Oryzias latipes: one gene and its partners. The main gene of each other region encodes a partner of the protein of the gene in region 2 in a complex. Links are inferred from orthologs where the notes say so. Each region holds a gene or a part of one and is shown on either strand. Other genes may lie near its edges. The genes, in order: taf12, tbp and taf8.

What was found.
Region 1: tbp (region 2) and taf12 share a complex: the UniProt entries of both Homo sapiens proteins name them as parts of the TFIID basal transcription factor complex. The link is inferred for Oryzias latipes from reciprocal best matches to the Homo sapiens genes TBP and TAF12.
Region 3: tbp (region 2) and taf8 share a complex: the UniProt entries of both Homo sapiens proteins name them as parts of the TFIID basal transcription factor complex. The link is inferred for Oryzias latipes from reciprocal best matches to the Homo sapiens genes TBP and TAF8.

The regions. Positions count from the first base shown.
Region 1 is NC_019874.2:22,542,519-22,546,274, reverse strand, and holds the start of taf12 (transcription initiation factor TFIID subunit 12), read right to left. Parts: upstream 2,350-3,756; 5' UTR 2,196-2,349; intron 1,681-2,195; 5' UTR 1,552-1,680; coding exon 1,474-1,551; intron 934-1,473; coding exon 856-933; intron 630-855; coding exon 515-629; intron 402-514; coding exon 313-401; intron 205-312; coding exon 169-204; 3' UTR 1-168. UniProt on the Homo sapiens protein: The TFIID basal transcription factor complex plays a major role in the initiation of RNA polymerase II (Pol II)-dependent transcription.
Region 2 is NC_019861.2:24,478,765-24,481,722, forward strand, and holds the end of tbp (TATA-box-binding protein), read right to left. Parts: intron 2,952-2,958; coding exon 2,784-2,951; intron 2,307-2,783; coding exon 2,212-2,306; intron 1,981-2,211; coding exon 1,901-1,980; 3' UTR 657-1,900; downstream 1-656. UniProt on the Homo sapiens protein: The TFIID basal transcription factor complex plays a major role in the initiation of RNA polymerase II (Pol II)-dependent transcription.
Region 3 is NC_019865.2:25,322,868-25,326,623, forward strand, and holds the start of taf8 (transcription initiation factor TFIID subunit 8), read left to right. Parts: upstream 1-1,015; 5' UTR 1,016-1,155; coding exon 1,156-1,203; intron 1,204-3,756. UniProt on the Homo sapiens protein: The TFIID basal transcription factor complex plays a major role in the initiation of RNA polymerase II (Pol II)-dependent transcription.

The DNA of each region.
Region 1 (3,756 bases), on a different chromosome or scaffold from region 2:
TTACAATTGAGCGATATTTAATGTCAAAGACAGACGACCTCATCAAAACGCTTTCTACTGTCAATAAAATAAAATGACAAACTCAAGTGGAAATGAAAACAATTGCATAAAAGAAAAGTTAAAAATTTGAAAATATACAAATTGGGTTCAACCTAAGGGCTTGCCCTTTTATTTTTTAGTCGTCTTGCGGATCAGTGCCATTCTCTGAAAAAGAAACACATGGGGAGCATTAGACTCAAGAAAAGGGAACTAAAATTAACAATTACGGCAATAATATGACTTCACAAACAGAAAAATTACTCTATCGTTTACCTGTTTATGAGCTTCTGTGGTGCAAGCCTTCTTATACGGTCGAATTTCATCAGAGCCATAACCAGGAATCCACATGTTCCATTGACGCTCTAAAATACATAAAAACAACACAACAATAAGACAAAAATCCCTTAGTTTCCACTAAATATTTATCAAACAAAAAGTACAAAATAAAAGGGCATTTAGCCTGTAAAAAACATACCTAGATGTAACTGAACGTCTTTAACCTCCAACGTGTTTGATTTGCGATGGCGTGCCAGCTGACAGGCTGCTGTCACAACACTTTCTATGAAGTCATCTGCAATTTGTAGAAGCATCTGAGAAGAAAAAACATATGAAGGCCTCAAAGGAACTCAACAAAGTAAGATTTTACACACAAATAAAGATATGTTCTGATTTATGAATGTAACAAAAATCCATGTTTTCTACGTAACAGTTTGAAATGCTGGACGGACGTAAGCATTGAAAATATTAAATAAGGTATACAACAGGCATGTCTTTTAATAGTCTTTATAAGAGGTTACAATATTTTTTTAATCTGACCTCTTCAACATCCTCATCCAGTTGCTCATTTGGGTCAATTTCTCTCACCAGGTCCTGCAGTTTCTTCTTAGAGAGGACCTGAAGACAAGAGGAAAGAGAAAGTGTAACACTTACACATGTGAGTGTAAGGTTTGTGTTTCACAATTAAACAGTATCCCGAAGTAGCTGTTAGCTGCAGTCACACAATAGAAATATTTTCAGGTAAAAAAATAAAACAAAATACAAAGCATCAAATTCAAAAGCGTACATGGTAGTTGTTGCAAAAAAAAGACAAATAGATGAAACAGTTTTACATTAGATAAAATATAAACAATATCTCAAATAGAATACATTTCAAAAGTTATATATAAAAATATAAGGACATAAAAGTGGTTACAGTGATCCCTTGCTATAACGCGGTTTACTTTTCACGGTTTCGCTACTTCACGGATTTGCATCGTGCATTGTGTTCTTCATTCAAAAAAATGAATGAATGAATGAATGAATGAATTCATTGTAAGAAAAAACAAAGGTTTCTACTTCACGGATTTTGCCTATCACGGGTTCTTTTTGGAACGTAACCCCCGCGAAAAACAAGGGTTTACTGTATACTAAATACAAAACTGAAAAATACTCAACCTGAGATCCTTCTGGGCTGCTTCTACCTGCAGGACCAGCAGGCAGGCTCTTCACTATTATTGGGGTGCTATTGGCCATTCTCAGTGATCAAGGTCAAGGAGGAAGCGCAAAGCAGTTCTTTAAGTTACAAGACGCTGGTGGCCCGGGTAAGGCTCTCCCAAATCCTGCGTGGCAGTCGAAAGCACCGCTTTTTCAAGGAACCACAACCTTAAATTTGTAGAAAAACAGTACAAATTTCAGTGAAATTAGGAAAAAAAGATGATCCATTCCCAAAAACATTTCCCTCCCAATTTAGTTTACTTCGGTTAACTGCATGTAGCTTAAAGCAGCATTTAATAAGCCTAAAAACTAGCGTTTGCATCCAATACAAAATGCAAGTATGTTTTAATTAAACTAGTAAATCTGATGTCTGCTTCCCCTAATTATTTACTCCAAAACAGAGACCGGAAAACGCGCGCAGCAGAAAGCGCTTAGCTTAACGCTACACGATGTCTTAAGGGCTTTAGGCTAATTTAATAAAATACAACAAAGTAAGCAAATGCCATTATTACATAAATTCTTTAGTACACAGATAAGAATCCAACGTTAACAGATTTGTTAGTGCTAAAAACAATAGCAGCTACAAAGCTTTGAAGTTAGCCTTGCTAAATTCAGCAGCTAATTTCTCAGTTCGGCGTTCCTCAAACAAAATTCTAAGTCGTGGCAGCTTTTTATTGACTCACCTTTTTAAATTAACACTATCTGTCCATTTTCGTCATTACTTCGAGGGAAAGGTACGTCTTTGACACTAAATTTGTCTACGAACAGGCAACAACCGTTCCAGAATTCAGGGAGCAATATTCGGAACTTCCGCTTTTGCCCGATTCTGTTTCCGGTAGAACCGTGTCCACGCTACGCTGCCCCCTGTCGGACTGTGTGTGGCACTTCAATAACACGTGAACAAAATCGGCCTCTGTGGAGAAGCACGGAAAATAAAATATATAAATACAATAAACGAGAACGCTTGTTTTTTAGATGGCCTGTCATTCAGTTGCTTTATAAAAGATTGTGGGTTATTTTTTAAGTTTTTGATAGGAAACATAATAAATATTAAGGGTGTTACGATTCATTTTAAAAAACGATTTGATCTGTATCATAATTTGTGGTTGCTAATAGGATTCAAAGTTGATATCGGTTCATTTTGAAACATCCAATTTCATCCAATTCACTGACCTAAAATTGAGCAAAAAAAAACAGCCAGTGTGACTCGGTACTGAACAGATTCCTTGTTGTATTTCTTGCAAGATAATCAAATGTAAATTAAATATGTGCACAAACAAACAAACAAACAAACAAACAAACAAACAAACAAACAAACAAACAAACAAACAAACAAACAAACACGTAAACAACAATTAATAGTAAATCTACAGTCAAAATTTAGTTTCATAAAGTTCAGCCCACGTCTGTTTTTCCACATCAAAATAAAATAATCTGAACAATATTAGAACATTCTACCATTCTACTATGGTCACAAAATTCTTTGCAAAAAATGAAAAATGTTTCAAAGCATTGGACTGTAATGACGGCTCGATCATTTTTTGCTGCCATTACATGTGTGTTGTCTGTTGTCTATGACTATTAGAAACAATTTGATAAAGGTAGATGTCAATTCGTTTACCAATTTGCTTTAGACAGATCGATCTGGTTGAATCACAGGAAAACAAATCGATTAATCTAGATTGGTCTGGTTGCCAATATTTATGATTTTCTTTACGTCTCAATACTCTGTATACTTTCACATCTCAGTGTTTATTTTCACGCCATGCTGTTGTTTTATTGGAAATATATTTTTAAACAAACTTTTTTATAATGCAAGATGATGTAGCATACGCCATCGTAGGCATTGTCTTTGTTAGATGTAAACGAGTTTTCCCTTTTCTTTTTTTCCCTTTTTCATTTTAATATAACTGAAGGTCTTAATTAAAAAAAAAACAACTAAGATTACACTAAAAACAATTTTTTTTATCCCCCGTGAGCAGTGAAATAAAATAAAGCGTGAAATGTTGGCTTGATAGGTTTTCCACATCGCACCAAAAAGTGTGAGAAACATCGTTAACACATTTTTTTCATGATGGCTCTTATGAGGAAGGAAAGAAAAAAAAACACACCCGCAAAGCTCAGGTTAAAACAGAAGTGGTTTGGTTCCCTGAGCGACGCGTGACGCGCAGAGAGCAGTCGTGATTATTGGAGCAGAGAGTGGACAGCTGCGTTTCTGGTTCACACAGTCATTTCCCATGTCAA
Region 2 (2,958 bases):
TTATTTTTACTACAGAGAAACTAAATGTAAAAAAAAATTTTTTTTACAACATAAACCTTTTTGGAAAAGCAGTCTTTATCTGAAAGATGGAAAACCTAGATGTTTGAGGAGAAAATTTGTCACAAATCCAAAAACCACAAATACAACAAACACCAAAACGGAAAAGTTTGGAAACATCTTCAAATTCACGAAATGACAACTTCAACCGAGTAAACTTTAAACGTGACCTTATTAGCCAATACAAGTCATGTGCCACTACAGACCAGTTTGGGCCGTTCATTCAGATGCATCTCCAATAACAGCAGCTGTTTTACTGCTTATAAATAGAACTAAGAGAAAACCATTGGTTCTTTTACCTTACATATTGTGCTGTTGAACCACCATGTTACTCAAATTTCAAAGTGTTCAATTTAACAATACTTACAGAAAACTGTATAAAAACTACTGAATGTCATGGATCTGATGACCTATGAACTCTATAGGTTTCCACCCAATGTGACCGATTCAAGTTTCTTTTCTAGACTTGAAGAAATTGAAGGGGTTTTTTTTACTTCAAAAAATTTCCTCCAGATAGTTTCAGATAAATAAATGAGTCTGTGGCAAACACACTGCTTAAAGTAAAAAAAACCTCAGATGTTACAAAGACAAAACTCTGCTTTATGAACAGGATGTATGAACACGTTTATTAACGCACAGTACAGCTCTAACAGTTGTGGAGGAACAGGTATCCAAATGGAAAATGGATTTCTGGTGACAACATCCATAATAAGTGGAACAGACGTTAAGTTGAAACTTATTTTAAAAGTTTGGCTTCTGAAAGGTAATCCTTAGGTTGGTTAACGAGAAAATGAAATCAACAAGTGCCAGAAACTCAAATCAAAAAGTGATAAGTACTTTTCTAAACAAAGTTTTGCAAAAAGAAAGAAAGAAAAAAAACCAGGACAAGCAGGAGCATTTACACTGTTAACTCACTCTCTGCAGAGATTTATAGAAAAAAACAAACTCCTTTGTCTTGGTGCATTTAAATTGAAGACAGACTAATGAACATTATTGTTTTGAATGCCTGTTAACATCATTTTTCCAAGTTTCCTGTTTGCTTTAAGCTTTTTGGAACATCCTATCAACTTTGAATGACTAATAATTGAAAATAAGTTATATACATTTGTACAAGTTTTACAATAAAGCACATCTGATATCACAATTATGCTCAGTTTCTTCATAAAAAATAAAAAGCTTCAAGCAATGATGGAAACATGGGGTGACTTTGACTGGTAAAGGCAAATTATTGCAGAACAAACTACAGTCTGGATCGGATAACTCAATTATTGAAATGGTTTCTATTCGTTATAAAATGAGGGCTTTCACTGTAACCTGGGGACAAGTATGGCTTCAGTTTAATTTGAAATTTGAAAAGTTAATCGATTTTGTGGCAAGATTGTTTACAAGGGGTTGACCCAAAAAATAAGGAGAAATCATTCATAAATCGAGTAAAGATAGAAAAAAATCAGTTTGCAATATATACAAAACCTGAAACACTGAAATAAAACCAGGAAAAGTCCCGGTCTACCTGCCTTTTTCTTCAATACTTTTTACATTTTCGTACAATTCGATGTAAGAAAACTTGCCAGCGAGGAAGAGAAGAAAATGTAAAAGCTAAAAGCAGGTAAAGTTCCGGGTGAAGATCAATTGTGATGAGGAAACGAGCAGAGGACCTTTAAAATGTCTTTTTGGTTAAAAAAAAAATTAAGGGAAAGACAAATAGTCTTTCACATTCAAGTCTTTACTGTCAACTTGAAGAGGTCAATATTAAAATGTTAACATCTCAGTGAATATTAAAGAAAAAATAGACAGAAATGTAAAAAGTTATAGCGTTTGGATAGAAAACAGGGAATTATAAGTTCTACGTAGTCTTGCGGAATCCTTTCAGGATGGGATAAATGTTTTCAAAAGCTTCATAGATTTCTGCTCTCACCTTGGCACCTAAAAATAGAAATAAATACAATAAGTTAAAAAACAGAAGGTAAAGCTCATCAAAAAGAATTTAAAAATCTGTTTTGGAACTTCAATTTTACATCAACAAAATTCTAAATACTTCACGGAGAACAAAGAAAAAATAGAAAAATGCTAAATAAAAGTGTAAACAATAAGTACATACAGTTAACATCCTGTTTTACTCACAATAGGAAACAAAAAAGTCTAGTGAAAACTTACCTGTGAGTACCACCTTCCCAGAAACAAAGATAAGCAGCACAATTCTAGGTTTGATCATTCTGTAAATCAGGCCTGGAAAAAGCTCCGGCTCATAGCTGCAATACAAATATTACCTCATTTTAGAAAAGCAAAATAAAACCAGGAGAATAAAAAAAAAATATATAGTTTGCCATCTGAGTGTCAAACTTCTGTCTGTGAGTCAGATTGTGGTTTAGGATTTTGTTCAATTCTGACCTGCTTATCAGATTTACAGACACTGCAGGAAACCAGTTTAAAAAATGGATGGTTTTGGAGCATTAATAAAATCTGATGCATACATATCATTGTGGTGCTTGTTCAGTACATTTATATCATTTGTCATCCATTCAGATTTATTTTTTTACTTAATATTTTCTTTTATGTTAAACATATATGTTTAATACCTAAGTTGGCATGTGTGTCAGCACAGCTGTCCCAACATATTTTCTTATCAATAACTGTCAATAGTCGATTAAACTGTCACATTTTTGAAAAGCCTTTCAGGGATTTTTATACGGATTCTTTAAATCTGCAGTAAAACAAGGAGAAATTACCTGCTGAACTGCTGATGTGTGAGGACCAGTCCTTCCAGACGAATGGGAAACTTGACATCACAACTGCCCACCATGTTTTGAATCTTGAAGTCCAAAAACTTTGCAGGAAAACCGAGCTTTTGCACCACACGGGCATATTTTCTAGCTGCTAACCTGGACTGTTCCTCACTACAAA
Region 3 (3,756 bases), on a different chromosome or scaffold from region 2:
GGAGGGGCCCAGCAGGAACATGGTGAAGATCTACGCGCTGGGCTCTGCTCTGACCCTGCTGGGAATGGTCGGCGGAATGGTGGAAATGATTCTCCTGCCCTTTTCTGGGGACAGCCCTGCTGATGGCAAACAGACTGCTGAGCTTTTCATGGACAAGAAGAGAAGGGAGAGGCTGCTGCTGAAATCCCACCATGTCCAGATCCCCACTGAAGCTGAGGACATACTGAGCGTGGTGGTGCCTGAGGTCAAGCCCAAACATCTGGGCATGGTCACAAGGAGAAGCTCGGCCACTCGCCTGCATGCTTCCTAAAAAGACTTTCTCACTTTAACGGAAATGGACAATGGCAGACCTTTTTATTTTTATGAATTTCTAATTTATTTTAGTTTTGGTAAAAATGTTTTCTGCCCCTTTTTTTAACAGAATGTCAGATGTGGTGATACACTAAAAACTGCAGGACACAGTGACCTCAGGCTGCTGGGCAGCAGATTCTAATATGGATCAAATACCATGGGAAGGAAAGGGGAATTGTGCAATTCAATTTATTGTGTGTTTTAATAAAAATGGTGTTGTGCTAACCACTGGTACTCAGATTATAGGAAAATAGTGTCTACTTAAAGAGGCACATTTGCTGCTCCTGCACTGAAAAATCGTGAGAAATTGAACAAAACTTTTTTCTTTTAGTCTTGCTTTGATGGCATCAAGTATTTGGTGATTGAGGTACTTAATAGATGTCTGTGCAACAAGCCTGAATTAAAATGGGTTTTTTAATTGAAAATCACAATATTTTCTCTCTTTATTTTTTCAATTTTTTGGAAAAAAATATAACATTTATTCAGGATAACTTAACACTTTCAAAAAAAAAGTCAGATATTTGAATGCATTTTATGTTGTTTTTGTCATGAAGCCGTTTCTTTTCTTCCATCTGCCAGTGGATAAAAATGACAATGTAAACAATCGCAGTACTGTAGACGGACGTTAGGGGGCAGTGTCGGCTAAACTCAAGACATTCACAATCGTTTCCGTCTGAATGACGGAAGTGTCGTCATACATGGACAACTTATTTACTAGCGGTGGCTTATCGTGTCTAAGCGAATAAATCTGTTTAATTTAAAAAATTCACACCTAAAAAGGAGACATTTTTGAAGTTATTTCCAATGGCAGATCCCGCCGTGACGCCGGGAGGCGCGTTAAACTCCAGCGGGGTAAGAAAAGCGTTTGTGTTTGTCGTAAATGCTGCAGGTTTGCATCGGAAAGCTTGCTAGCAGCCACATCTGGATGCGGAAAGGTTTCATCGTTGATTTTGGGTTAAATGGCAACAAGTACGATTATACTCCACTTTGTTTTGAACGACTAGCTGAGCTAGCTTTAGTGTTTTTGTGCAACATGCTCTGTAAATGATTCTCTTCATGTTGAGACTATTGTTTCGGACGGAGTATATCTATGCTAACTAAGCCGACTATTCTTGATGATGAGGTTTTTAGTTTTCTGAACCTCCTGAAGGTTGCAACTCTCTTTAATACCTCCGAGCCCTCCTGGACTCTTTAGTACTGCCCTAACAGCAATTCAAAATATAAATTCACCCTTATTTATAGAGCGCTTTTCCTGCTACAGAACACCTCGATGTGCTTTATACAAAGAAAAAAATGTATAATGGTAATCATTAACATAAATTGCATGGTGGCGCAGTGGTTAGGACTCTTGCGCCCTGGTTCAAGTCCCGGCTGTGGGAACCTGAAACAGAACGGGACCTTTCTGCTTGGAGTTCGCATGTTCTCCCCGTCCATGAGTGGGTTTTCTCCGGGGACTCCAGCTTCCTCCTGGCGACCTGTGCAGGATGTTCCCTACCTTCGCCAACGAGTGGCCGGGATGGGCTCTGTAGCCCCGTGACTCCGAAAGGGTCTTAACGGGTTTAGAAGATGAAATGAAATTAGCATTAACATAATAAATATTGATTAACACATACACAATCTACAAGTCTCCAAAATAAAAAATAAAATATGAGGAAATGTACCAAACTCCTTGGAAAGCTACACAGATAAGTTTTGAGTTCTGTCTTAAGCCTCTACATTGGATGAAGCCCTCACATCCACAGTGCTGAAATGTGGCCTCGCTTTCTGTTCTGACCTTTGGGACCATCAGCAGACCTGCACCTAAGGTCTCTGAGAGGGTCATCAACTAAAAGCAGTTCTGATTAAAACTGAAGTTCCATTTTTTTATTAGCATGAGACTTGTAGAAACTAACAAAAGAACCTTAAAATGGATCTTTATGCTCCCTGGGAGCCAGTGCAAGATTTCAACATTTCAGTAATGTGCTCCTTCTTTCTGACTCTGCTTAAGAGGTGCACAGTTGAGTTTAGAACAAGCTGCAGCCAATAAAGATAAAGATAATCTATTTTAGATGTTAAAAAAGTGTGGATTCATATTTCAGTGCTGGCTTTGGAGAGAAAGGGTCTCACTCAGACAATATTTCTAAGATGAAAAAATGCAGTCTGCATCAAAAATCCCACCAAGATTTCTGAGTTTATAAGTAATGGGTTTATAAGGAAAAATGGACCCTCTCTTCTCAGCTTCAGGGCCAAGATTTAAGAAATGTCTGTTTTGTCTGTATTGAGCTTTAAGAAAGTTCTCTCCAATCCAAGTTTCAACATCTAAAAAACAACTTAAAAGGTCATCAGTGGGTCCCAAGTCATCAAGTGTCTCCTGATGACATCACCAAGTTGAAGCATGTACAGGTTAAAAAGTGTAGAACCAAGGACGGAGCCTTGTGGCATCCCACATGTCAGTCTGTGTTATGACGCATCATTTACATCAACATTAAAATCTCTTCCTGTGAAATGAAATTCAAAACGTCTGGAGACCGTTTCAGTGATAACATCTGCATAAGTATTTCTTAGGAACTGTAAACACAAGCAGCTGCTGCAGATTTTTTTCATTGTTGTGTTTATGATAAACGAACAAGTTTTACTTTAGATTTGAGCTGCTGTTTTGTAGACACTACAGAGGAAGGAAACTGACACGTCACACAGTGAAGATATGTGCAGGGCGCTGAAAGCTAGGCTGAAAGGAACATTGGTGAGCAACAGTATGGTTTCATGCAAAGGCTGAGAACCACAGATCCAACATTTGCTTTTAGGACGCTTCTGGAGAGGAACAGAGAAGGTCAGAAGGAGCTGCATTGTGTCTTTGTAGATCTAGAGAAAATGTATGACAGAAAACAGAGAAAGGAGCTGCGGTCTGGATGAGGAGTCTGGAGGAACAGAAGAACGTTGGAATTATGCAGGATATGGATGAGAGCTGGAAGACGTTGGTAAAAAATGTTCTGTAGGCACGACAGAGGAGTTCAAGGTGGAGGTGGGACTGCACCAGGGATCATCTTCGAGCACCCTCTTGTTTCCATGGTGATGGACAGTCTTGACGGATGAGGTTGGACAGGAATCTGTGTGGATCATGATGTTTGCAGATGACATTATGATCTATAGTGAGAGGTAGCAGGCGGAGGTTTCCTCTGGAAATGAGATGAATGAAGGAGCGGAATTCGAGTGGAACAGGGAGTAAAGGTGGAGGACTTTAAGTTCTTTGGGTCAAACAGTCCAGATCAACAGAGAGTGTGGGAAGGAAACGAAGAGCTCCCTCTTCATCTCTTCCCCTTGGAACCTCCCATTCCAAGGAGGTTAAGACAGGTGAAGGAAGGTTTCAGGTGTGACAAGATTGTTAGCAAGAACGAAAGGAAAGGTGTATAAGTCTGTGTTATGATC